Linked DNA regions of Tribolium castaneum. The protein of the gene in region 2 interacts with the protein of the main gene of each other region in a pairwise test. Links are inferred from orthologs where the notes say so. Each region holds a gene or a part of one and is shown on either strand. Other genes may lie near its edges.

The links.
Region 1: the proteins of TER94 (region 2) and protein LZIC interact in binary tests that used the Homo sapiens proteins (3 or more experiments, as listed by UniProt). The link is inferred for Tribolium castaneum from reciprocal best matches to the Homo sapiens genes VCP and LZIC.
Region 3: the proteins of TER94 (region 2) and UBX domain-containing protein 4 interact in binary tests that used the Homo sapiens proteins (3 or more experiments, as listed by UniProt). The link is inferred for Tribolium castaneum from reciprocal best matches to the Homo sapiens genes VCP and UBXN4.
Region 4: the proteins of TER94 (region 2) and Faf2 interact in binary tests that used the Homo sapiens proteins (3 or more experiments, as listed by UniProt). The link is inferred for Tribolium castaneum from reciprocal best matches to the Homo sapiens genes VCP and FAF2.

What each region holds. Positions count from the first base shown.
Region 1 is NC_087398.1:12,806,026-12,811,427, forward strand, and holds protein LZIC, read right to left. Parts: upstream 2,882-5,402; 5' UTR 2,735-2,881; coding exon 2,634-2,734; intron 2,582-2,633; coding exon 2,446-2,581; intron 2,397-2,445; coding exon 2,241-2,396; intron 2,193-2,240; coding exon 2,061-2,192; 3' UTR 1,935-2,060; downstream 1-1,934. Other genes in the region: zinc finger MYND domain-containing protein 11, read left to right, coding at 1-196, 239-435, 482-884, 931-1,075, 1,124-1,241, 1,291-1,458, 1,507-1,629; eukaryotic translation initiation factor 4 gamma 3, read left to right, coding at 3,404-3,468.
Region 2 is NC_087396.1:21,353,820-21,360,216, forward strand, and holds the start of TER94 (transitional endoplasmic reticulum ATPase TER94), read left to right. Parts: upstream 1-1,965; 5' UTR 1,966-2,267; coding exon 2,268-2,284; intron 2,285-2,360; coding exon 2,361-2,720; intron 2,721-3,873; coding exon 3,874-4,066; intron 4,067-4,130; coding exon 4,131-5,249; intron 5,250-5,528; coding exon 5,529-5,712; intron 5,713-5,766; coding exon 5,767-6,053; intron 6,054-6,112; coding exon 6,113-6,364; 3' UTR 6,365-6,397. Other genes in the region: leptin receptor gene-related protein, read right to left, coding at 1,001-1,298, 1,343-1,383. UniProt on the Homo sapiens protein: Necessary for the fragmentation of Golgi stacks during mitosis and for their reassembly after mitosis. Involved in the formation of the transitional endoplasmic reticulum (tER).
Region 3 is NC_087396.1:24,042,198-24,048,782, forward strand, and holds UBX domain-containing protein 4, read left to right. Parts: upstream 1-3,146; 5' UTR 3,147-3,236; coding exon 3,237-3,318; intron 3,319-3,373; coding exon 3,374-3,508; intron 3,509-3,575; coding exon 3,576-3,925; intron 3,926-4,235; coding exon 4,236-4,915; intron 4,916-5,124; coding exon 5,125-5,260; 3' UTR 5,261-5,338; downstream 5,339-6,585. UniProt on the Homo sapiens protein: Involved in endoplasmic reticulum-associated protein degradation (ERAD). Acts as a platform to recruit both UBQLN1 and VCP to the ER during ERAD.
Region 4 is NC_087399.1:11,510,841-11,517,601, reverse strand, and holds the start of Faf2 (FAS-associated factor 2), read right to left. Parts: upstream 3,877-6,761; 5' UTR 3,726-3,876; coding exon 3,332-3,725; intron 3,280-3,331; coding exon 3,096-3,279; intron 1-3,095. UniProt on the Homo sapiens protein: Plays an important role in endoplasmic reticulum-associated degradation (ERAD) that mediates ubiquitin-dependent degradation of misfolded endoplasmic reticulum proteins.

The DNA.
Region 1 (5,402 bases), on a different chromosome or scaffold from region 2:
CACACCATGGCCCAGCAAGAGCGGCCCGAGTGGCTAACAGACAAGGAGCTGAGTTGGCGGGCAAACCAGCTATTTTTCGAACACAGAGACATGTCCGTCATTGAGGTGAACCTAAATAACGAGTCGTACACGAAACTGTACCAATTTCTCGCCGATGTTTTAACAATCCAACACAACGTTGCGATTTTTCACGGAAGTATGTCCAAATAATTGTTGTTTCTTTACCATTTGTTCGCAGTTGAGTCGCAGGAATACGGGGCTGCGGAACTTATGATTAGAGACTGCATGCACGACCTGACCGAGTTGAAACTTTGCGTTGATTGTTACCGCCATAGTAATGAGAAAATTAACGCTAAGTGGTTCTGTTTGCCGTGCAGAGTGCCTCATAAGTTAGTTTGGGCCAAACAAAAGGGCTACCCCTATTGGCCTGCTAAAGTGGGTAGATGGTCGCTTATATGTGTTTAGTAATTCCGCGTTTTAGGTGATTCAAGAGACGAGCACGCATTTTGATGTTAGGTTTTTTGGGGGTAAATACGAAAGGTCGCTTCTGATCAAATCGTTAATTAAACCGATTGAAACGCCGCAATCGAAGTTGCAAATAAAGACGTCTTCGGCGTTTAACAAGGCGGTGGAGGAGTTAAGGTTCCATCAGCGCTTGATGCAGAACCCTGACGAGCTCCAGAAGTTGATCAGTTCGTCGAAAAACAGGGTCAGGAGTTTAAATAAGCAGCGAATTTCGACGTTGAAGAAGTCGCTTAATAGTTCACTGGAAGTGAAAAAGAGAAATTCATTTGAAATGAATGATGTTTACAAGTTTGAGGATAATCCATTCGGTCAGCAAAATTTAAGCCTAACGCATAAACGTAAAAGCAGTTTTTGTGAAGGTAATTTCGTTGTCTTGTGTTACTTGCGTCTTATTTGATTAATTAGGAAGTCCCGTGTCGAAAAAAAATTCAACTAGTTCCGTGGAGAAAAACGAGGAAGTTCACAATACTTCCGATAGCGTTATACACATATCAGACGGCGAAGACGATGAGTATCCCTATTACGATTATTCATCGGTTTCTAATACAAAGTAAATATGTGTGTCAGGTGTTTCCGAGTTTAATTTTTTTATTGTTAGCTATAATGGTTCATATGAGCAAGTTTCAAGTTCCACTGAAAATTACAGATTCCAGGACAGAAGCCAGGAAAATGGGATGCAGCAACTTGATCACCCTTATAGTGATTCAGTTGAAAAGGTTTGCTAATAAGCGACGTTACAGTAACTTGCTCACGGTTGGTTTGTAGATGAGAAGAAGACTTGAATGTGTGAGTGATAAAAAAGAGCTTATAAAGTGTGCAATGGACTGTATGCAAAGTGAGATTGATCAAATTACAAATAATCACAATGATCATTTGAAAAGGTTGTTTGAGTCCCACAATGCGCAGATATCGGAGATTAAGAAAAAGCAATGGGTAAGAAAGATTGGCCAAAATGAGCGGTTGTAATTCATTCATTTCCAGTGCTATAATTGCGAACAGGAAGCCATTTATCATTGTTGCTGGAACACGGCGTATTGTTCCCAAAGTTGTCAACAACAGCACTGGCAAGCAGAACATAAAAAAGTTTGCAGGCGTAAGCGCTAGTTTCATACAAAAATTAAAAAATGTTATTTTGTGTATTATCTATTTTTATAGTTTGTTTATCCTCTAATATCATTATGTAGAGTAATGGGAACATTGGCGTAATTTTCATTGTTTTGGTACTTTTTAGGACCAAGTTACGAAAGTACAATTCTAGTTAACTTTTTAATTGTAGGCAATAACTTGAGTTGTAAGAGTTTATCACATAGTGTTGTTGAAACTTCCAAATCATTTTTAAACGTTGTATCACAATTGAAAGTTATGCCACTACTTCATTGTTTGTTCTTATTTTATGGTTTAAAATAGTATTGCTTATAAATTTTATGTATTTGCAACGGAAGATACAATAAATGGCAAACGACCTGTTCTTTTATCTGCAGCTTTGTTAAATTATATGCATGTACAAATAAAGCCCTTATTTCTTGGTGCGTTTTTCATTCATCAGTCACTTCCACAAACTCAACGTTTTGGAAAGCATTGGCAATATTATTGTGTTTCTCCAAAAACTGCAGCTCTTCCATTGATAACTGTTCCCCCAGTTGTCTCAATGCAGTTAATATTTCAGCCTAGAAAAATGAATAAGTAATCACGTCTGAAATTGCTAGGTAAATGACCTTTTGTCTGTTAGTAGCTTCATCACTCAATTTATTAAGTTTACACTCTTGCTCAATACTGGATAATCGTTCTCTCAACTGCTTTGGTTCTCTTTTGCCAAAAAGTCTGATAACCTCTGGCGTTTTAAACGCTTCTGATATGGCAGCTTGTGTGGCCTTGAAAAATCGTATTTGATTTTTTGAAAAAATAAAGAACTGTTTTTACAAGTTGTACGGCTCCGAGGGCACTAACAAGTGAGATATCGCCTTTGACTAGTTTCGATAAGCTATCGTTTAATTCCTTTAACTGATCCATCGTGTCCTGTTTAGTCTCCTCATATTCCTCCGGGTCTAAATCCGCTCTAAAAATGCAGTTTCATCATTCGGGAGCATTGAAACGCGGTGACGACTAACTTGCAATTTTCTAAATCTCCCAGTTGTTCGACTAGTCTGTCCAGTTGATTTTCCAAATTTTGTTTCAGTTTCGCGGTTTCGACTTTTCCATAGGAGGTCATTTTGGTTGATTTGCAACTCAATTACTGGAAATTTGCATTTTTTTGTAGGTTAGATCAATTTCTGGACAATGCCCGTTATTTTTTCAAGTGAGCGGTTGGGTTAACTTTCGACGTACGGCGTGTTTGGTGTTTTTGTTGTTGGTGGGGGTTAAGTGAGAGAGGGACGCCGGGCGTGCGTCTTTGCTAAGGAAAAATTGTTTTAGTTGTGTAATTTTCCGTTGGGTGCGCTAGGTGTGCTTTTCTAGCAACGTGAAAGCCGCGTGTCAGTTTTAATAAAGTTGTAAGTTTAATTTAAATTTGAAGAAGTGACATTGGTTAAATTCGAGTTCGCATTAAGTTCGGGAGTGTGGAGGCTGTTGTCCGAATAGTGCAAGCACGGCCCGGAGTGCGTCACGAAACTAAAGAAAACAATCATGTTTTTGGGTTAAAAGTCCGCCATCTTGAAACATATCTTAACCTTTGATTAGTAATAGTGGTAGTGTTATCTAAGTGACGATTTCGAAAAATCCAGCATCATCAACATCGAATTTCGGTCTTTGGGTGCGACGATGTTGCGAAGCTTGTGAACTGGCCGGAAATGTGTGTTGTGCTGTCAGTTCTGAACATATGCAGTCGCTGAGAACGGATACGCGGCGGCCTCTGTGAGGGACGCGGCGCCCCAGGGCTGACATGAGCGGCAACCAGAAGCAGACAGCCGGGAGGGGGCCCCAAAACCAGGCCTACTCCACCACACTGTATCCTTTGAGTTACGCCCATCTGTCACCCGACTGTCATCCCCCCTGTCTTAATTGTTGCTGGCGCTGCATTGTTTTGAGTAGAATGTGAACGCCAGGCTGGTAAACTTTCATTAGTTCACATTCACCTGTCTATGCAGGCCACCAACCGCAGTCATTACCAATCCATATGGTGTTCCACACAAATCACGCCCAATAATTACAATTCGCGATTTGTTTCAATTTCGAACTCGCGTGACGGGGCTCCAGCTTGTTGCATCACTATGTGAAAAGTGAAGTGGTGGCATTGGATGTCAAGCGAATTCGCTGCTCTTTCCCTGATTTAATTACATAATTGTGTGTCATATTGCCACGCACGATAAACGCAGGTAAGGTCAGGTGTGACTTCGCCCTAGTTCATTACCGACACCTCCTGGTTCGGTTTCGAGTGCCTTTTTACCAAATGTTTTTTTGCTGGGTTTTCCCCGAATTTTTTTAAAAATGACCAGTTGAATGCGATGGTTGATGGTTGATCCGGAGTTGTGGTTGCGCATGCGTTCCCATTGTTCCTGGCGGCGGAACCAGGAACCAAGTCCCCAATGTTGCCAGGTCTGGTGATCTTTCACCAGATTTGGTGACTTTGATGCCAATCTTGTGAAATTCTGTGATTTTTGGCAACGGAAAATTTTAATCTATTAATTTATTCTGGATTACCTTTTAGCATGGGACGTTCAGAAGTATTGCGGAACCGATAAGATAAGAGGGTGTTTTTTTGAGCATTTCCTCTCGAGACTTTACTAATCCGAGTGGAAAGTCTTTAACTTCTTTAATAAATAAGTAGAAAATGTAATGTTTATATTTTTAAGTTTCAAGCGTCCCAAAAAAGCATTACTTTGGGCTAAATATGACATAGCTAACATTGGTTAGCTAAAACCGCAATTATTTTCAAAATTTTCGTTAAAAGTAACCCGAAAATTTACTATTTGTTACTAGGATGCAAAAAAGCACCAAATTGGAGGGAAATGGTATTTTTTAGTCAGTTTCAGTCACTAATTTGTTCTTAAATTAGAGACCTTGCAAAAAGTCACAAAAATAAATCGATGCATGTTTCGTTTGATTTATTATCCCGGTTTGGATCTAAACTTTATCGGAAATAAGCTGAAAAATTAGGAAATTTTTTAAAAGATTAATTAGTTTGTTCAAAAAGTAATGCTTGTGTCCTTACCAGGAACAAATCTGGTAGTTTTTCGGCGCGGATCTGGTGTAGTAATTTTTTTGCGCTGGCAACACTGCAAGTCGCACAGTCGATACAATGGCGGTGTCGCCGAAGTCATAATTTTTTGACTGACAATCAAGTTTATGCTAAAGACAGAAACCTCGTGTTCGCAATCGAAAAAAATCGCCGATTTTTCCGTTTATTTAACAACGAAACGTAACGCGACAAGTTACCAGCACCGTACCATGTGATGATTGGTTTGCGTGGTGTTTGGTAAAACGCCCTTATCGATTTTTGGTGTTTGGTGCAGGGAGACGTGCTTCGCATGTCCCAGCTCCTCTTCGGGTTTTCTTGTTGTTGTTTTGAAAATCACCGAACGTGTTCAGAAACTCACCCCAATGCAGTTTCGTCGTACCAATGACTGTGCGTTTTCTTCTCGTAAGTCGGTGGTTGGAAAAGTGGTTGTGGTGGTAGTGAGTCACACGACATTATTATGTCGAAGAAGTTTGATGCTGGACAAAAGCCTGTATTGATGGGTTATTATCGTGTGAGGGGAGTGACTTGCGTGGGTTTTTGATGCGTTATTTTGCCCAACTCGAGTTATTTGTCGCGTGAATGCGGCGTTTGTGATTTTTTTATTTTGGAATTTTTCGACAAGATGGTGTCGCGGTACGTGACCAATGGTCCTGTCAAAGAGGGCATATGCTTGCTACCACCCACGCATTACAGGATGATGCCA
Region 2 (6,397 bases):
AGTCGGGAAAGGGGTGGCAATGGTGGCGGCGTTACGCTTAAATATTCATTAAGGGCGCTGTGGCCTTCGGTGTATTGATGACACACGGAAAAATTAATGAAATTGGGTGCTATTTGTGGACGGGTGCTAATTGTATTTACTTACGGTGTTTACAACGCACGATATGGGAAAACTACCCTCGCTAAACAACCACTCCCCTGAAGACAGCTGATCTTAGTGGGGTTTCACGTGATTTGACATGTTGCCATCTGTGTGTGGAATATGACATTAGGCGAGTGACGGACAGAGGGCGCACAGCCACCAATTGATTAAATTACAAAAAAATCCCCAGATTTTTGACCCAAAAACACCGCCAAAATTTGGAAAATACATAATTATTACGAAATTGGACCGCAATCCGAAATGGCCCACCTCAAGTTGGTGGTAGATTTAAATATCACTTCTTTTTTCCTCATATTTTTACAAGGAAATGGCCCTTGTGAGTCGAATTGGCGGGACATTCAAATGCTGAAATGTTTGCTTTGCACTCAAAAAAATCAAATTATTCAAAAAACTTAACAGAATCGACCAACACAAGTTCTGATCAAAATCATGAGTATGAAAAGATTCGTCCAAAATTTAGAGTGTTCCATTTAAAAAAACAAGTTTGTACTATAGCTCATTTTTCAAGCACCTTGTATATTTGAAAATAGTTTTAGGTGATGCAGGGGGTTATTATCTAGTGATATCTATGACTTTCGTAAAAAATATTCGTTTATTTAAAGGACAATAAATGGACTACCAACTTGCTGAGACACCCTGCATATGCCTCATTTTGCAATTTTTTTGTCGGTAACATTTTAAACCATTTTATACGAAAACGTGTTTTCGCACTCGTATTATAAGTAACTATAATGAAACAACTTTGTTGGGGAAACCTATCTATTAGCTTTACAAAAGATTAAGCTTACATACATTTAAATAAGTAAAATAGTTATGAGTACATCTTGGGTTTATTACACTACCACATATTATAATCAGAATCGTCTTGATCGAACGTGAGAAAGAACCCGAGAAGGGTGGCAAAGATGACCACGTTCCCGGCCAGTGTCAAGTAACACGCCCCCCACTGGATAACAGCCACCCTGGCCAAGACAATCGGCAGGGCAAAGGCGCTCACAATGAGCCCCATTGTGAGAAAAATCGCCGTCTCGAGACACGAATTACTCGAGCCTTGGTGCTCTGTGTACCTCCGTGCCAGGAGAGTGGGAATGGGGGCCAACACGTAGAACAAAACCACGAAGAAAGGCCACCATAACCTGCAACGGGGGCTCAAATTGAGGCTACAGTAGGGCCAACTCACTTGTATTGAGGGAGGCTGCAGGCCAGGATGACCATCGTCATGCCTATAGAACCCGTAAAGGCCAACGTAACCAATCTGCAAACGCTAATTAACAAGGGGCAACAAGGGGGCTGCCAATACTCACGCTGCTCAATCGCCAGGGCACATGAAAAAGGCGCAATTAGTGAAATATCAAGACTAAAGCATGACTAATAACTGAATTTGGAAATTACTCACTTTTGATCCCGGCCATTGTCACGATCAATATTTTGGTGATTTAATGTTCCAGTGCACACCTAACGATATTTACATCCTATTTTTTTAATTTGTAGCCTTAAATCCAAAATGACACTGACAAGTGAAAAACTATTGTTTTTGTCAAATTGTCAAACAGTTGCGTGTCGTATCAAGAGAGGGCGCGCCCCCATTTTTTGCCCCAAGCCTCAGAATCTAGCTAAATTATCGCGGGTCTTTACTGCTGATTTTTGATGGAAATAACGTGATAAAAGCGGTCCCGCCAAGTGCCAAAACCCTTATCAGCGGTATCAACTGATTAAGTTTCGATCAAGTCAGCAAGTCACATGACCGCGTTGTTCGAAAGTTGGGGCATAGAGGGCGGCGCTAGCCTTGACACTGGTTTTGTCAAATTTGGCCAAATTTGACTGTTTCCGGCGGCGAATCGTGTCAAAAGTGCCAAATCGTGTTGTTTTTTTCGCGTTCGGCGTGTTCCCCTGTGGCGATAGGGCCGACTAGGGCCAGTTTGGCCGTTTCTGGTATTGTAGGTGTCGCTACTCGTTTGGTAAGATGGCCCCTGGCTGTCCTCTGTCAAAATCCTGAATAAGCAAAAGAAAAGCTACGTCATTCAGAACCGATCGTTAGATTGTGCCTGTGTTAAATAGTAAAAGTTTCGGTTTTTTCGTCTAGTGTAAGCTTCGAACGTTGAATAATGGCCGAGGGTAAAAGGTGGGTAGGGCCGGCGTCTGAATTTCGCCCATGTCACCAAGGGGCAGGAAATAGTTAATTTTGGCTAAACTTGCAGTCCTGACGACCTGGCGACTGCGATCTTGCGCCGCAAGGACCGCCCCAACAGACTCCTGGTGGAGGAGGCCACCAACGACGACAACTCCGTCGTGGCGCTATCGCAGGCCAAAATGGACGAGCTGATGCTGTTCCGAGGCGATACAGTGTTGCTGAAAGGGAAGCGGCGGAAAGAGACCGTCTGCATTGTGCTGGCCGACGAAAACTGCCCCGATGAGAAGATCCGGATGAACAGGATCGTCAGGAATAATCTACGGGTTAGGCTCTCTGACGTCGTCTGGATCCAGCCCTGTCCCGACGTCAAATACGGGAAGAGGATCCACGTTTTGCCCATCGATGACACGGTCGAAGGGCTCGTCGGGTGAGTTACCACGAAAAAGCCCCTCTCTGGGGCTAGAAGTAATTAAACAAAAGAAACCGTCCTGTGGCCAATGGGAAAGACGGATCGTTTGCCGGTTACCAATGAGAGAGCGCGCCCACAGCGCGCGGTTTGAATTCCTCCAATTGCTTAGCTGGCATGGAGTCGCTGAACTGTCATGACATGACTGTCACATTATCGCAATTATTTGGGGATCGTTCTTGTAATTTTTGAGTCATACGATTTTATCAAATAATAACACGCATTATTTTTCTACAACTTTCTCGAAAAATTATTAAAATAAATTATACTTGTTTTCCTTATACATCCGGTGATTCCAATGAATGTTGATCGGTACTTCCCACAATTTGATCGCTAGTGACTCATTATTATGACTATCTACTGTGCGACTATTATCGTATTTTTATAGTAATCGGCTTTTGATTACAAAATAACCGAAAAAAGTCAATATTTCTTAAGTCTCCGAACCTACCAAGTTTTTTTTTCATTGAAGATAATACAAATTTTTTTCTCAAGATTTAAGCACATTTTTTTTGTATAATTTTTACAACTTTGTTCCTCACAGTTTTTTGGTACCTATAACAGTAAAAAGAGACAGACTGTAGACATAAATAGAAAACTGGTTCTATTCCTTTTTAAATTCAATTCACTGTTGTATTTTATTTGTTATTTTATTTATTTAAATAGTGACTGAATAAGTAACAATTCAAAATAATTTGCAAGGAAAGCACACAACTTATGTTAATTAGTGACATAATAACAGATTGCCCTTCATTATTTTGTTTTAAATTTATCTTAGCATGTTTTTCTCAATCTTGTGTATTTTGGTATAAAAATTTGTCAAAATTCGGTACAAATCTGACAATTTTTTGCGGCTTAAATTTATTGGTTTTATTTTATTTTTTCGGGCTGCCAACGTTTTTGCGATGTTTATTTCAGGTATTAAAATAAATCGTGTTTGTTAATAAAGAGAATCGTTTTTTTTTCTTTGATGTTTATAAAACTGACGTAACGTCTGTATTGGCAAACAATTGAGCAATGTTTCTTAATTTATTTGTGACGTAGCAACTAAATTAAACAAAAACACGAAACATAGTCACTGTGATTTACAAAAAAAAACTATATTTTTTTGTAGAAATCTCTTCGAGGTGTACTTAAAACCATACTTCCTCGAAGCTTATCGACCAATCCACAAAGGCGACGTTTTCATCGTCCGTGGTGGCATGCGAGCCGTTGAATTCAAAGTGGTGGAAACGGAACCGTCACCATATTGTATCGTCGCCCCCGATACCGTCATCCATTGTGACGGCGATCCGATCAAACGAGAAGTAATAAAAATTAATCCAATTAAGTGAGTGACAATCATATTTTTTTCTATCTTGTTTTTCCCAGGAAGAGGAGGAAGCCTTGAACGCCGTCGGCTACGACGATATCGGCGGTTGTCGCAAACAACTCGCACAAATCAAAGAAATGGTCGAATTACCTCTACGCCACCCGTCGCTCTTCAAGGCCATTGGCGTGAAACCACCACGTGGTATCCTCTTGTACGGACCTCCAGGTACCGGTAAAACTTTAATCGCACGTGCAGTGGCCAACGAAACCGGTGCTTTCTTCTTCTTAATCAACGGTCCCGAAATTATGAGTAAATTAGCCGGCGAATCCGAAAGTAATCTAAGGAAAGCGTTCGAAGAAGCCGATAAAAACTCACCGGCTATTATTTTCATCGATGAATTGGACGCGATTGCACCGAAACGTGAAAAAACCCACGGCGAAGTCGAACGCCGAATTGTCTCGCAATTGTTAACACTGATGGACGGCATGAAGAAAAGCTCGCATGTTATCGTGATGGCGGCCACAAATCGCCCGAACTCAATCGATCCGGCTTTGCGTCGGTTCGGTCGTTTTGACCGCGAGATAGATATTGGCATTCCTGACGCCACCGGACGTCTGGAAGTGTTGCGTATTCACACCAAAAATATGAAGCTTGCCGACGACGTTGATCTTGAGCAAATCGCCGCCGAGACGCACGGTCACGTGGGCGCCGACTTAGCGTCGTTGTGTTCGGAGGCGGCGTTGCAGCAAATCCGCGAAAAAATGGATCTGATTGATTTGGATGACGATCAAGTCGATGCGGAGGTTTTGAATTCGTTGGCTGTTAGTATGGAGAATTTCCGTTATGCTATGACCAAGTCGAGTCCGAGTGCGTTGAGGGAGACCGTGGTCGAAGTGCCGAATATTACGTGGGACGATATCGGTGGATTGCAGAATGTTAAGAAGGAATTGCAGGAATTGGTGCAGTATCCGGTTGAGCATCCTGATAAGTTCTTGAAGTTTGGCATGCAACCGTCACGTGGTGTGTTGTTTTATGGACCACCTGGTTGCGGGAAGACTTTGTTGGCGAAGGCTATAGCGAATGAATGTCAAGCGAATTTTATTTCGGTCAAGGGGCCGGAGTTGTTGACGATGTGGTTTGGGGAGTCGGAGGCCAACGTTAGGGACATTTTCGATAAGGTTTGTTGTTTCTCTTGAAATTTGAATACGAAGTGTAATTAAAATCGCACTGAATTTAAGTAAAATTGAAAAAAAATGGGATTAAAAAAATAAAAAGATTATTATGGCGTTCATTGTGTAATGTGTAACAAAATCTTGCCAACGCGTGAACAAAAATGACGTTATTTACGGCATTAAAATATTTTCTCCTCTGAAACATAATGTAATTTTTTTTTATTGCCAAGTCATGCAGACAGAGGAATTTAATAATATTTTCCGAATGTGTGTTTGGCTTTCTAGGCTCGATCGGCCGCCCCTTGCGTCCTCTTCTTCGACGAGTTGGATTCGATAGCAAAATCACGTGGAGGCAACCTGGGGGATGCCGGAGGCGCCGCCGACCGTGTCATTAATCAAATTTTGACGGAAATGGACGGAATGGGCGCAAAGAAGAACGTTTTTATTATCGGAGCCACAAACAGACCTGGTGATTAACCCGCCAATTTTATCGATTTTTTTCTATTATTTTTTTAATTTTTAGATATCATTGATCCTGCAATCTTGCGTCCCGGCCGTCTCGATCAATTGATTTATATCCCGCTGCCGGATGAAAAGTCTCGCGAAGCGATTTTCAAAGCAAATCTGCGTAAATCCCCCGTTGCAAAAGACGTGGATCTTACTTACATAGCTAAAGTGACTCACGGATTCTCAGGTGCCGATTTGACGGAAATCTGTCAAAGGGCGTGTAAATTAGCGATTCGCCAAAGCATCGAAACCGAGATTCGGCGGGAGCGCGAGAGGGCCATGAACCCGAACAGCGCAATGGATGTGAGTAGTTTTTTCTTGCAATAAAACACAAATTTAATGAGAATGTGAAATTGTTTCAGTTGGATGAGGATGATCCGGTTCCGGAGATAACTCGCGCCCATTTCGAGGAGGCGATGAGATTTGCCCGAAGATCGGTGTCGGATAATGACATCAGGAAGTATGAAATGTTCGCGCAGACGCTGCAACAGTCGCGTGGTTTTGGCACTAACTTCCGGTTCCCGTCGGGAACGGGAGGCTCGGCTGCGCCAGGAGGGACAGGAGGCGATCAGGGCAACTTCCAAGATGATCCTGAAGACGATTTATACAGTTAAATATTCAGGCTCAATGTGCACTCTTTTTTTATT
Region 3 (6,585 bases), about 2.7 Mb from region 2:
GGTGTGGGAAAGACTGAAAGCAAATGATTTTTGTAAGAGAGAATATCGGAGTATTGATCGGACACCTGAATAACGCCAAATAAATTACGCAACGTGAGAAGTGGAGTAAACAAAGTTTGCTTGGACGTGACAACTTGGCTCGTGATAACGAGAGCTTTTGTTGGAGCCCAAGGTTAACAAAAGTTGGGAATTTTTATTTTATTTTTAACTGGTTTACAGTACGCAACTAAACCTTCTAACAACTTCTCAACCTTTTATTTTAAAAAATGTAATTGTTTTTTGCTTATATTTTTTGTGTTTAGTTGTCATATTAAATGCTCAAAATTTTTTAAAATAAAAATGCAAAATTTTAATTAAAAATTATTTTAATATTTGTAATTTTATTAATACTATTAATATTTTTAATTAATTGAAATTAATTAAAAAGAGAAACAGTTATTAGAAAATGCTAATCTTTGTGCAATTCAGTGAAATCTTCCTTAACGGACATCTCCGAATAACGGACACTCTTCACAACGGGCATTTTTGTAGGAACGTAATAAAACCGATACCATAATTTCCATCTCCCATTAGCGGACACCTCTCCACAACGGACAATTAAAAGTTCCTCGTCGGTGTCCGTTGTTGAGAGGTTTTACTGTATTGATTTTTTTTGGTTAGTTTTTAGTGCCTTTATCTTCTATCGTTTAATTTTTTTCATTTTTTTTACTTCAATATTTTATTTATTTCTGAATCAGCTGAAGCTTTATTAAAAAAAATAAAAAGTTTGCAGTTTTACTACAAAAATTGTGAAACATTAAGTAGTAAACCCGACCCCACCCCCAATTTTCATCAGTCGATAACACCGAAAACACGTGCACCAAATTTATATTTCATGAGGTAACTGAATTTAATGCTTGTAAAAGCTCCAAATTTTCACCCTGATTGGCATTTCGGTCAAGTGCACTCCAACCAGCAGCTCTCGAACCGAACTGTCGATTCATCCCTTAAAAATCAGATCCACTCAACTTTCAACAAAAAAAGGAGCTCAGCAAATTTTTCGCAAACCATCGGAAAATTAATAACCCAGTAAAAAGCCCTCGTAAATTTGCAAAATTTACGATGATAGCTTCCGGTGTGAAAATGAAGCGATTAATTTTAAATAGTTTTCCAAGTCCGAACGTGTGGGGTGACTACGCGTAAAATTACGCCCCGTATTGATCTGCAGACCCAAGGGTGTCTCTGTCTACTGCGAACATCCCTTGTAACCACGACTACGTCACCAAAATTTGATAAGAAATCTAACTAGGAATTCAAACCCGGAAGATGGTTTTTCACGAAGCTGTCCGTTGTTGGAAAAATTTTCTATTGTAATTTTGCATGCACTAAATTAGCTAAAGTCTCCACTTACTTGGGGTGTAGCAGTGTCTAGAAAAAGTGATTGTTGTTTTACGTTGGCAAATTTTGTAAATTCTTCGAGTGGTGTTCCAGCACAAGTAAAACCCACATTAGGCCAAGCAAAACAGCTTATTTCGGATGATTTGGACGCTCACCGTCGTCGCGGCGCCACCGTCGAGTTAGGCGCCGCTCGAATGTGCAGTAAACGTCGTCAATAATAATCCACAGCGATATTAAATCAGCCTTAATGGACGCCACTGGGCGATTTAAACAAAAATTGGACCATTTCCTGCCTAACTTTAAGTCAACATTTACACGTTATGATTATTGTGTAGGTAAAACATTGTTGAAATAAAATAAAATTTTTATAAACAGAGTTGCTTGGAAATAACATTATTTTATTATTATTATTATTATTATTATTATTATTAAATTAATGTGAAATTTTTTACAATTTTGTTGCAACTAATTGAAAAAAATTACTGAAACAGTGTTAGCTGCGAGACAGTACATTTAATGTATTCTTAATTAATTATAGTACAGTGTGCTATGTTTTGTGTTGCATTATTTTGTTTTTGTAATTACGGTCTGCATATTTATACCTACACAGAAGAAATACGCTCTATAATTTTTATGTGAAGGGTTGGATTGTATTGTGAATGAAGCGGCACATTGAGTTTGAATTCCATAGTCGACTTGATGAACAACCATTTTTGAACACATTGTATATTAAATATTACAAATTATCTGGCCAGGATAGTTGTTTAATAGCACTTTTTAATTTGTTTTTTTTTCATTTTTAATTAACTTTAATGTAATTCCTACCACGAAGATTTTTTTGGCAAATTGTGCGAGTCTAAGCTGGAACATTGAAACATCTTGTTTTAAATTTTTATTGAACCTGTTATTGCATATAAAAAACTATAGTTTTCCTAGTTAATAAGTCATTTGTGACTCTATCGCTATTCAGTTAAATAATAATATCCCATATTTATTTGCTGCAATCTTGATTGCAATCTGTAATGGCCAGTATAAAAGTGCTAATTTTACCAACTTGAATATTTAAAAGCTACGGACGGGCTGTTCCGCTTATTTATTGTAAACCGCGATGAAACAAATTTATTGTTTAATAACCGTCGTCGTTCTAATCCCGGTAAGAAAATCGTTGTTTCGTTATTAATCTTAGTTAAAATTTATTGTTTTAGACACTCACTGCTCTTGAAAATGAAGGGCAAAATCCTGATACAGCAAATTGTGTTGCGCTAGGTGGACAAAGAATCAAAGATTCTGAAATAGCAAAAATGGCTCATTGCATTCTCACCAAAACGAATTTAATGACAGACAAAGGCACTTTTAATAGTAATCTTTTAAAGGAAAGGCTTAGACAATCTGTGCACAGTGACGAATTAGTGGATAAAGTCGTCATGATGTGCACCGTTGAGAAGGAAACACCACTGAAGAGTGCATTTTCGGGATACAAATGTCTGCGGTACCTTGTACCATGGTTTCCGTTAGACTAATAAAGAACAGTTTTCAATACCCGACCCAAAATAAAGTTTTAAGAGCATTTTGCCTGTTTATTTGCTATTTCGGCCACTTTAGAGGTGGTTTCAAAAATTTACGTTTTTCAAAATGACTAAAACTGGACTTTTTCCGTTATAGCACTGAACACCCCATAGATGTTTAGCTAATTAGCGCCACATTTTCTGTCCAAATCTGTTCGTAAAATTTAACTTTGGCGCGTTGCTTGTGACACCTAGCATATTCTATGCACCTAGCGCCACATGACAGTTGTCAATGTAACACGTCAGTTGTCACAAACACTCATTTTTTATTAAAAAAAAATAGTTTTAATCGAAATGAACTGGTTTAAAGGTGAAATCGCCCAAGCAATCGTCACTTCGAAAGCCAAACAGGCAATATTCGTAGTTTACGTTTACGGTAAGAAACGCAAACGTTATCTAACCTCTCCATGTCGTTTTTCGCCCGTTTTTAGGCAAAGACGATAAGTCAGCGCAAATAACCGAATTAATCGACAAGGAGGAAATCGTTAAAATATTAGGAAGCGATAGCTTTGTGGCAATCAAGATCGAAGCCGACTCTGTACCTTATCAGCAGTTTAGTCAAATTTGTATCCTTTTTTTGTAGTATCCAAGTTTTGTTGATACTTTTAATTGATTTGTCCCTAACTCAGTCAGATAAGCAAGTTCCAACCCCTTCGGTTTATTTTATTGGGAAGCAAGGAGTGCCTATTGAGATTGTGACTGAAGTAAATGATGTTAAAACTTTTCAAGAAAAACTCAACTCGATTCTGCAAAAAGGCGGACTTTCTCCGATTGCTTCACAATCACAAGATTTTATCACCAAAGAACAGGCGCAAAATGTTGTGTGCGAAAACGACGTTTGCACCATGAAAAAAGACGAAACGCCTTCAACCAGTCAGCAAGCTGTGGCAGGAAAAGAGGATTTAACAGTTGAAGAAAAGGTTGAAAGGGCCAAGCAGTTGGTTGAACTGAAGCGAGAAGAGAAAAGAAAGGAGGAGTTTGAGGTAATGTGTGGCTGAATTTAAGTTGGCAACATTTCATAAAACAAACGATGTTTTCATAACTCAGCTACGAAAACAACAATATTTTGGTTCTGTCTCATGTAAAATGATCCGGAGAATCGATTGGTGTCAAGAAAATCGCCAAATTCCCAGTAGTTTTTAAGTTATGAATTTTTCAAAATTTGACCAATTTTTGCTTTTATTTGCAATTTTCTCGAAAACTATTGATTGGTCTTAATTTGTCAAAATTGAAGTCCATTTGACACTTGTAACTTCAAAATCCTCAGTGAAATAATGGCGTAACATCTTGCAGAAAGAGCGCGAGAAGGAGCTTGAGCGTCGTAAAATGGGCCAAAACGTGCAACAGTTGAAACGTTGGCAGGAGGACCAAGAGCTGAAGCAAGTCCTTGAAGAACGTGAAAGAGAAAAGCGCGAAAGTCAGGCGGCTCGTGAACGAGTCTTGGCTCAAATCGCTCAAGACAAGGCTGAAAGAGCGGCAAAATTCTCTCCAACAGCCACAGTTCAACCACAAGCTCACTCATCGCAATCGCAGTCATCTCCAAGACCTGTCAACACAAACACAGCCAGATTGCAATTCCGAATGCCAGATGGCAGCACGGCAACGAACGATTTTTCGAGCAGTGACACGCTAGCAAGTGTCCATGCTCACATTAAAGCTAATTTGCATCTACCGTTTAGCAATTACACACTTTCCACAACTTTCCCTCGAAGAGAATTTACTGAAGCTGAGAATAGTCAAACGTTGTTGCAACTGGGGCTTGTTCCAACTGCTGTTATTTTGATCTTGCCGGTTAATAGGGGAGTCGTTGCTACTAACACAGAAGGAGGGTTTACAGGATTTTTGTGGACTTTGATTACCCCGATTTTGACTCTTTTGGGTTATTTGAAGACTTTTGTGTTTGGATCGGCTCCTGCGCCATCTACTAGCAACGATAATAAGCGAGCCGCTGAAGCGTCATCTAGTGATCACAGGTTTGTTATTCTTCTTAAGATTTATAACTGAAGTTAACAATTTTTACTATTCTTCAAGTTACTCATCAAGAAGGCTGTGGATGTCATACGTCAAAAAAACATGGCTTGCTGCCATTTTTTTTACTTATGTTATCCTGAGTTATATTTTTATTGCAATCTTAATCTAGGGCCTAAAAAAATCTGCCTGTACTATTGAGGAATTGTTTTAGGGGGCAACCAAAAGTTCGAAGGGGTGGCGAAACAACAGTGATTAGAAGGCAGGGGAATATTCATCGTTTGTCCAATAAAAACGATAGTGATGATGAGAATAATACCTGGAACGGTAATTCTACCCAGCAGATGTAAATTATCTTATTACTTACTTGGAATATTTTTCACTAGTTATGTACTTCTTGATGTAAATAAAATACTTAGAATTTTTTATTGCTTGTTTTATTTTCTCATAACACATTAACAATATTTTACATAAGTGTACTCGTACCTATTCAGGAGGCAAAGATTTTCCTTTTGCCAACAGAGTAACTCCTAAGAAACTGTTTCATAAACTCCTGGTATTACTCTGTCTTTAAATGTTCCACACCACCTTTAAAAAAATGAGAAAAATGCAACCGAAAAAACCTCCCCGCAGTCTGCACATGTCGTGTGTATTGTTGGTTGCAGCCCTAGCGCCAGTTTCTAGCAGTGAATAAATTAATTTACTTCGCAATTAAATGCTCAGATTTTTTTACATTGGGTTACGCTAATCATTGTCCAGTTAAGACTTAAATTAAATTACCATCAAGCGAATGATAAAAACTGGATAACGATTCTAGTTATAGTTTCGTTTAAAGAGAAGCTTAATTAATTTTTTTAATAAAAATTATTTTGAGTCTAAAATTTTTGAGTGTGTGAAAAAAATAATTATATTAATTTTTACCAATTTTTTAAAAATTTTGAAGGACAATAAGTGACAAAACTCATAAACTACAAGTCGCACGGATTTTTTTTAAACCGCCAAATTTTTTGATTGGCTTTGATTAGGTATAGTTTTTGAATTTATAAAATAAAAATATCATAACTCGACAACTACTCGACCTAAATAAAAACGGTTTTGCAAGCAAATTCTTTGGGTAATTTTGGGTAAGACCTCGGGTAAGACATTTTTGCAGCCTTTTTCAAGGATAAAATCATATTTTGAACGGTTTTTCGACCTAACATTGTTAACATCCTAAGAAAAACTTACACAGCGCGAACTTCTTATTTATCGATTTGTTGATTTTTTAATTTAAATAATAATAATTAGTAATTAGTTGTTACGAATGTGATGAATTGGCGTAGGTAAGTTAGCCGTTTTGCATAATTCTAGCATCTCTCGGCATTTTTGGCAATTCCTGTGAATTAATTCTCTTAATATAGGCTTGGTAAATTGGTACACATAGTGGCTGTTAACTAATGCGAATCCCAGAAGAGTCGTTCCGAAGTGGTTCGAGACTGATTACCGGTAACCACAACGTTAATTACCACTATAACGCTAGAACACCGATCTGAATGCAGACTAGTACATTAGGAGCACTAACTTGCGCACTCCCAGGCCCGACCTTTGCATAAATAATGTCCTAAGTGGAATGAATCAATAAAAGAAAAGTGATTGCAAGTTAAAATGGGGAAATTAATAGGCCAAGTTTTTCGTG
Region 4 (6,761 bases), on a different chromosome or scaffold from region 2:
CGCTCAGCTCCATTTGCGTGTGCGTCATCTGACATTTCTGTCACTACGTTTACATAGCAGGGTCATAGCGGTGACAAACTATCAAATATTTTTTGAGGTTACGAAGTGTTTAAATTATGAGTTGTTACAAAAAATACAGATTCACAAAACAAGAACTAATAAACGCAGAATCAAAAACCTAACGAAACGCAAATCACAAAACACAATAAACGAACGGAAAATACTTGCGATTAACACCGATAACACTTTTCGGACAACCATGCGACAACGACTATAATTTACTGTCAATGTCAGGTTGACAAATTCGTGACACTTTGACGGTGTTGTCGAAGTGCACATGTAAATTAATGTTCAAGGATACCACCCTTAGATAGCTCTTAGCTGTTTAAATTTGCATTGTTTTTGATAATTTTTTTATAGCTTTGTGTTGGTAATGAAAAAATGAAATTGATGACGCACACGCAAATCGAGCTGACCGCCACTATAGCTAATGTAATTTATATTTTCAATGAGAGATCTAATCATTAATAAGAATAACTATTTTACATTTTTGTCAACCTTACTGAAAAAAATTATTTGTTAAAATGCGACGATGGCATTTTTATAGCTTTGAAACAGTGCAAAAAAAGTTACATCGTAATAAGACACACTACGATGTAATTCTTTTTTAGACGCTTGTTGTAGCAAATAAGGAAGGCTAGGCAGATGATAAATATGTATTTGTTATGCATTAACGGAAAAAATAATTTCCGTCTTGTTCCAAAAACAATTAATTTTAAAACAATAAACAAATAAAACACTATTTGCGTCAATAGAAAATTTTGCTGTCAAATATCTTAAAAGCATTTGAATGTAGTAAATATCTGTTTCGTGTAAAAAATTTAACACAAGATTTATATTCCAGTAAAGAGTTTCTCATTGGTTACATCAACACAAATTGCATTTGAAGACACCATGGCTAAAATAGGGAATGTTTATGCTGTTTAAAATCGTTGCTAAAACTGAAGCTGCGAACTGCTACATAATACCTAATATAAAAATTGAACTAAAATACAATGACTTCACTTTCGCTTGGCTTCACCTAAAATGTTGAACATTTTTTGATAACATGACTAAAGATACACAAAAATGTAATGAGACACAATTAACATCACATATTTAAAGACGCACCCACCTTTTCGTCACTACAAATTAGAGCACCTTAAACTGTCTTTAAACTATTGAAAATAAAGGTATAACGTCTAATAAAAGTCAGAACTAATTTGAGTTTAACTCTAATAAGGGTCGGATTATAGAAATCGAATAAAAACTTAATCCAAGATTAATCTAATTCACATAAAGTTTACTTTGCAGTGAGCGTCAATTTAAGGACAAATTTGATCACAATTAAAGGTTCTGTAAACTAACCATAATATACAAGGTGAGTCCCCTAAAAGTATGTAAATAATGCATGTGAATGTTGGCAGACTTTTTCTACAATTCCTTACAGTTGTTTCTCGTGTATTTTTCATTATCTCAAGCCATTGTCATTATACAGGGTGATTCAAAAGTACCGGAAAATCTCTCGGGTGCTGATAAAGAACATCAAACTGAATTAAAAGTTCCTATGACAAAAAATTGTTTAAGCCTTTTTTCACAAGATATAGCTCTTCAAAGTAAAATTTTTAAGTTATGTTTTTGGTGGTTCAGATCATATTTTTTGACTTTAGTTAGATCAACAATTAATGTCTTATGGGAAACAAAAACAACAAATTGATACCGTTGCTAAGGAAAACAAATTAAACAATACATCAAAATTAAGTTGCTTGGAAAAAATCTGACTATCCACCACCCTGTATTAATGTATCCTTTACTTAACTGTTTATTTAATGTGGTAAAACATTCAAAGCCAAAATTTCGTAAGGCATTTATTAAACTTGTTATTGTATGATGCTTTACACCTGACCCTCAAAAAAAAGATCCTTAGTTTCATTTTACGTTATAATAAATCGTTTTAATTTTTATGAAAAATATTTAATTCCTAACAGAAGTATTCAGAACCAAAATACCTAACTACATTAATTAATTTAAATATTAATTAAATGAAATTTTATTATTGTAAAAAATACACAAAAAATACGTAAAAAAATGGCGCTATAAAATTACTAGTTTCTTAGTTTTTAATTCTGACTGGAACGGCGCCATCGAGTGATAATAACCATCACTATACCTTGTCAAATAAAAAATCTACTTTTTAATTTGATAACGTTAAATGCAAATTTTGCGTGTTTACCATTTTACACGACACAATTATTTTGCCAAATGAAGCGTCAACTGAGTAAATTACCACACAAATGCAAAAAACTACTAACACACTCACCTTGTATAAATTTTAACATAATACCAATTTAAATTCTTGAAAAGATGCAATATAAATTACAGAAAAATAGTATAAGTATAGTATAAATTACACAAAAAAAGTTTTATAAGTCTATAAGCACGAAATGTTTTAGAGCACGACGAAAGACTGCTCCAATAGAATAAGTGCCACAATTAAGTCTTAACGAGTGTAATATACTATTTTTTCTGCTTTCTATTTTTGTGTTTGTGTTTAGTTTAACTTATCAAAAATCTGTCCAAACTATTTCCTCTTAATTTTGTCAATTATTCAGGCTTTATCAATAAACGACTTGATGCTGTTGACAAATCACACACTAAATTACAGTGATGACTGATGACATCCAGCTCAGCACTGCCAATACAACTCCTAAAAACTTACTAAAAGGAGTTGCACAAAAGTTCTCTTTGTGAAACTATGAATATTTTGTGAACCAAAGTAGAAAAAATATATTTTAAACAATTAGATTTCTGATCGAAGAGTAGGAGACTTAAAATTAAGTTGGCAACACTATAATAGAGGATCAATGTACTTGATTCACTTTTTTCAAGAAAAACGCCTCCAAAAAAAAATTGTATTTAGTTTAACAAATGGTAACAGTGACTTTGATTGTATGTATGTACATTTATTTAAATACTTGCATCTGTTATGCAATGTTGCCAACTTGATTTCAAAAAACAAGTCCAGTGTAACTATAAATTTAATTGGCGTAAGTTACCTGCAAAACAAGTCAGCATCGTTGTGGTCTTCTTTATGCAAATAAACTAAAAGGAACCGTAACTCTCGTTTAGCATCATTAAGGGCATGCGTGAAAGTTCCCTGGTAAAAAACTGGATGGCAATCTCCATACTTCTCCTGGTAAAGATTAATAAACCCAACAACATCATCTAGCGGATTAGTCGCTAAAACAACCCCCAATTACGCCAAAAAACACCTCAATAAACCCTCCCTTACGCCTTTCGGGCTCGAACCGAATCATCCTCCTCCCCAATTGAAACAGGGCCAAAATGGTACTATAGCAAATATTGTAGAAAAAATTAAACATAGCTTTGGCAAAACCCAGAATGCCGCCACCGCCCCCATCCCGAGGCATCGAATAGTAAATGTGTTGCCCCAAAAGGTCGCTCACAACCGCCGGCGGTCTGCTCTCCGTGGCGTAAATCGAAGGTCTGCCCTCTCTGATATTGAGCTGCTCCTGGACGGCCACCTCCAGGTTCCACTGGTGCCTCTGCAGCACGTCGCGGCATATCGTCATGTCGTCGATGCCGGTGAGGTCTTGCAGCTGTAATACTTTCTCGGTTTGCTCGCTCGTGAGCCCCAAACCAGCGTTGTCTCCGAGGTAATTCATTGTGAAAACACAGCGCGGCCGGGATAATCACATGTGCACATAAAAACGTGGAATTTTTAGATACGGTGCGGTGTCACACTGCATAAATTACAAATGCGTGAATTGATACACTTATTGAGCATTACACTTATTTTCGAAACGTCACTTTGTCTTGAAAGTTTCCACAGAAAATTGGGGGAGTCTCGGCGCTACCGGTGAGCGTTGGCAGCACTGCGCGAGTGTTTTTCGAATTTATTAAATTTTGAATCTTCCCAATTGTCCCAAATCCCCTTTTACCAACGTAAAACACCCCATATTTCAGGTAATTCGACTAGTTAATTATATTGACGGTTTTAATGACATGAGTATTGCTGGTTGCCTAATAACTGTTTCAAAAGTATAAAAACACCAACGTCGCATTTTTTCTCAAAAAATATTAGTTGTTTCAAATCTATAAAAACGCCAACGTCGCATTTTACCAAATTCTTTTTTTAAATAAGCTTGACAAAATTTCAAAACAGTTATGTATTAATGATTAGATCTCTCATTGAAAGTGTTAATACATTTCCTATTATTATGTGCATGAATAATTTATAGCAGCTAATTTTGAAAGAATTTTGAGACAGCTAATAGCTGTTGTAAATTATTCACGCACTTCAAAAAAATAATGTAGTTTATAGTTTCAATAAGAGATCTAATCATTAATAAGATAATAAGTATTTTATAATTTTATCAATCTTATTTAAAAAAATTATTTGGTAAGATGCGACGTTGGCGTTTTTATAGTTTTTAAACAGCTAATACATTATGGGATTCAAATTAAACTATATGCAAATTAATATTATTTAACACTAAAAATTAAATATTAGTTTTGCTCCAATTGTTCTATAATTTTAGTTTTGAATTTTTAATTCCTAATTTTCTCTGCGTGCACGCCTATCAACGCGGCTCAATGTTAGCCAATTGCAACCTGATATGGTGATTTCGATGAATTCAAATTTCATTGATCAAGTAAAGAATAGTTAAATATAGTTAATTTTTTTTTTATATAATCAACTGTCAGTGTCACAATTTTGTTAAAGACCAGACTATATCACCCTGTGCATATGTAGAAAAACATTATTTAAAGTATTCTTTTACATGAATCATCAGACCAAATAAACAATAATTATTATAATTATAAGAATACTATAAGCACCTACTGGAGAAAATCCATTTTGAGAATTACCAGTCTACTTTGTAGAATGTCAAATTTTGTACATACAGGCTGTCTATTTTTCAAACTCCACCAGGGTATCTCAATTATTATAAGAGATACGTGGTCGGTTGCGCATTTTTATGCTGAACAATTATCGGAAGGAAAATTTTATGCGTCATTTTTAGTTTCTGAATTATTCAGAAAAACCACAAACTTGTAAATTTTGTTTTTAATTTTTCAAATGAAAACTAGAAGAACTACATTCGGTTCACTTTCATAAAAATCATTATGATGGAAATTGGGTACTCTTAGCATTAAGTTTTATATGAGTTGTCGTGGTAACAGGTTAGTTAATTCCACTACAATGGTTTTTATGAAAGTGAATCAAAAGTAGACGTTTTTAAGGACATTTTTCAGGCACTTTTTTACAAAAAGAACGTCTACGCTAGGCGGAGCCAATGCGTACTTGGTCGAGTGGGGAGAATGAGCAGTGGCGTATCAAAAAACTATCCTATAGGAAAAAGGGGTTTGAGTTTTAAACTTTTTATTATTTATTATTTCCTGTATTTAATAATAGCAATATGAGATAATAAGACATCACACATCTGATTCCTACACGTTAGTTGTTAATTTCATATAAACATAAAGCAGAGATGTCCAATAAATAACAAAAACACAATGTGAATGAGTAAAAACGTACAAAAAAGATTTCTTATGTTACCTTTACCATTAATGATATTGAATCGTTAAAAATTACGATGAATTCTTGATACACGAAAATACACACCACACCATTGCTCCATGGACTCATCCGCGACAAGTTTTCATCTCTGCGCACTCCCACCACCGTGGACGTTCTGTCATTTTCATGACTCTACTTATATTTTTCAAACGTCTTTTTGTTCCTGATTAAAAACGCCATCGTCGCATTTTACTAAATTTTTTTTTAAACAAGATTGATACAATTTTAAAATAGTTATTAATGACTGACTAACCTTTAATTGAAAATGTGTAAATTATATTAGCCGTTATTTTTTGAAGGGCATGAATAATTTATAACAGCTAATTTTGAGAAAAAATGAGACGTTGCCGTTTTTAAACTTGAAACAGCTAATACAACATAATTTTCAAGAAAAATTTAGAAAAGAATTTAAACATGAATCTACAACATATTACATAATTATAATACCGTGGAATCGAAAATTAACTGAATTAAAGCGAACCTTGCAAGGGAAGTGTAACTTTGGTCACAATTATTTTCAAAATATGGTGTTGCAAAAGACAGTAAAGGAGACTACGGAGATGTCCAGAAATACTGTTACTGAAAAATTTAGGAGACCACTGATCAATACAGAATACTAGAAATTATGAATATCAGTTTCCTTTCTTTTGCGTGCACTTCCAAGTGTAATGTGGGTCTAGCTGATTCAAAACTATAAAAACGCCAACGTCGCATTTTACCAAATTATTTTTTTTAATGAAATTATAAAATAGTTATTAATACTTAGATCTCATTGAAAATATAAATTACATTAGCTGTTATTTTTTTTAAGTCCACGAATAAGTTATAACAGCTAATTTTAAGGGAAAATGCAACGTTGATGTTTTTATAGTATTGAAACAACTACTCCACTATTGATTGTGACATTGACAATTCTACAATTCACAGAAACAGAGTACACATTGTTTTTTGTTATTAGCACAGTTATTAGTGTTTTTTTTACAATAAATGACTGTTTATTTTTATATGTTTCTGATACCGATCCTTATTTAAACTTGAGTTGGATTAATGGTGATAATTGATAATCACCGTTTTAATCCAAGTTAAAACAATTTTAAAATCTATTGTAACCATAACT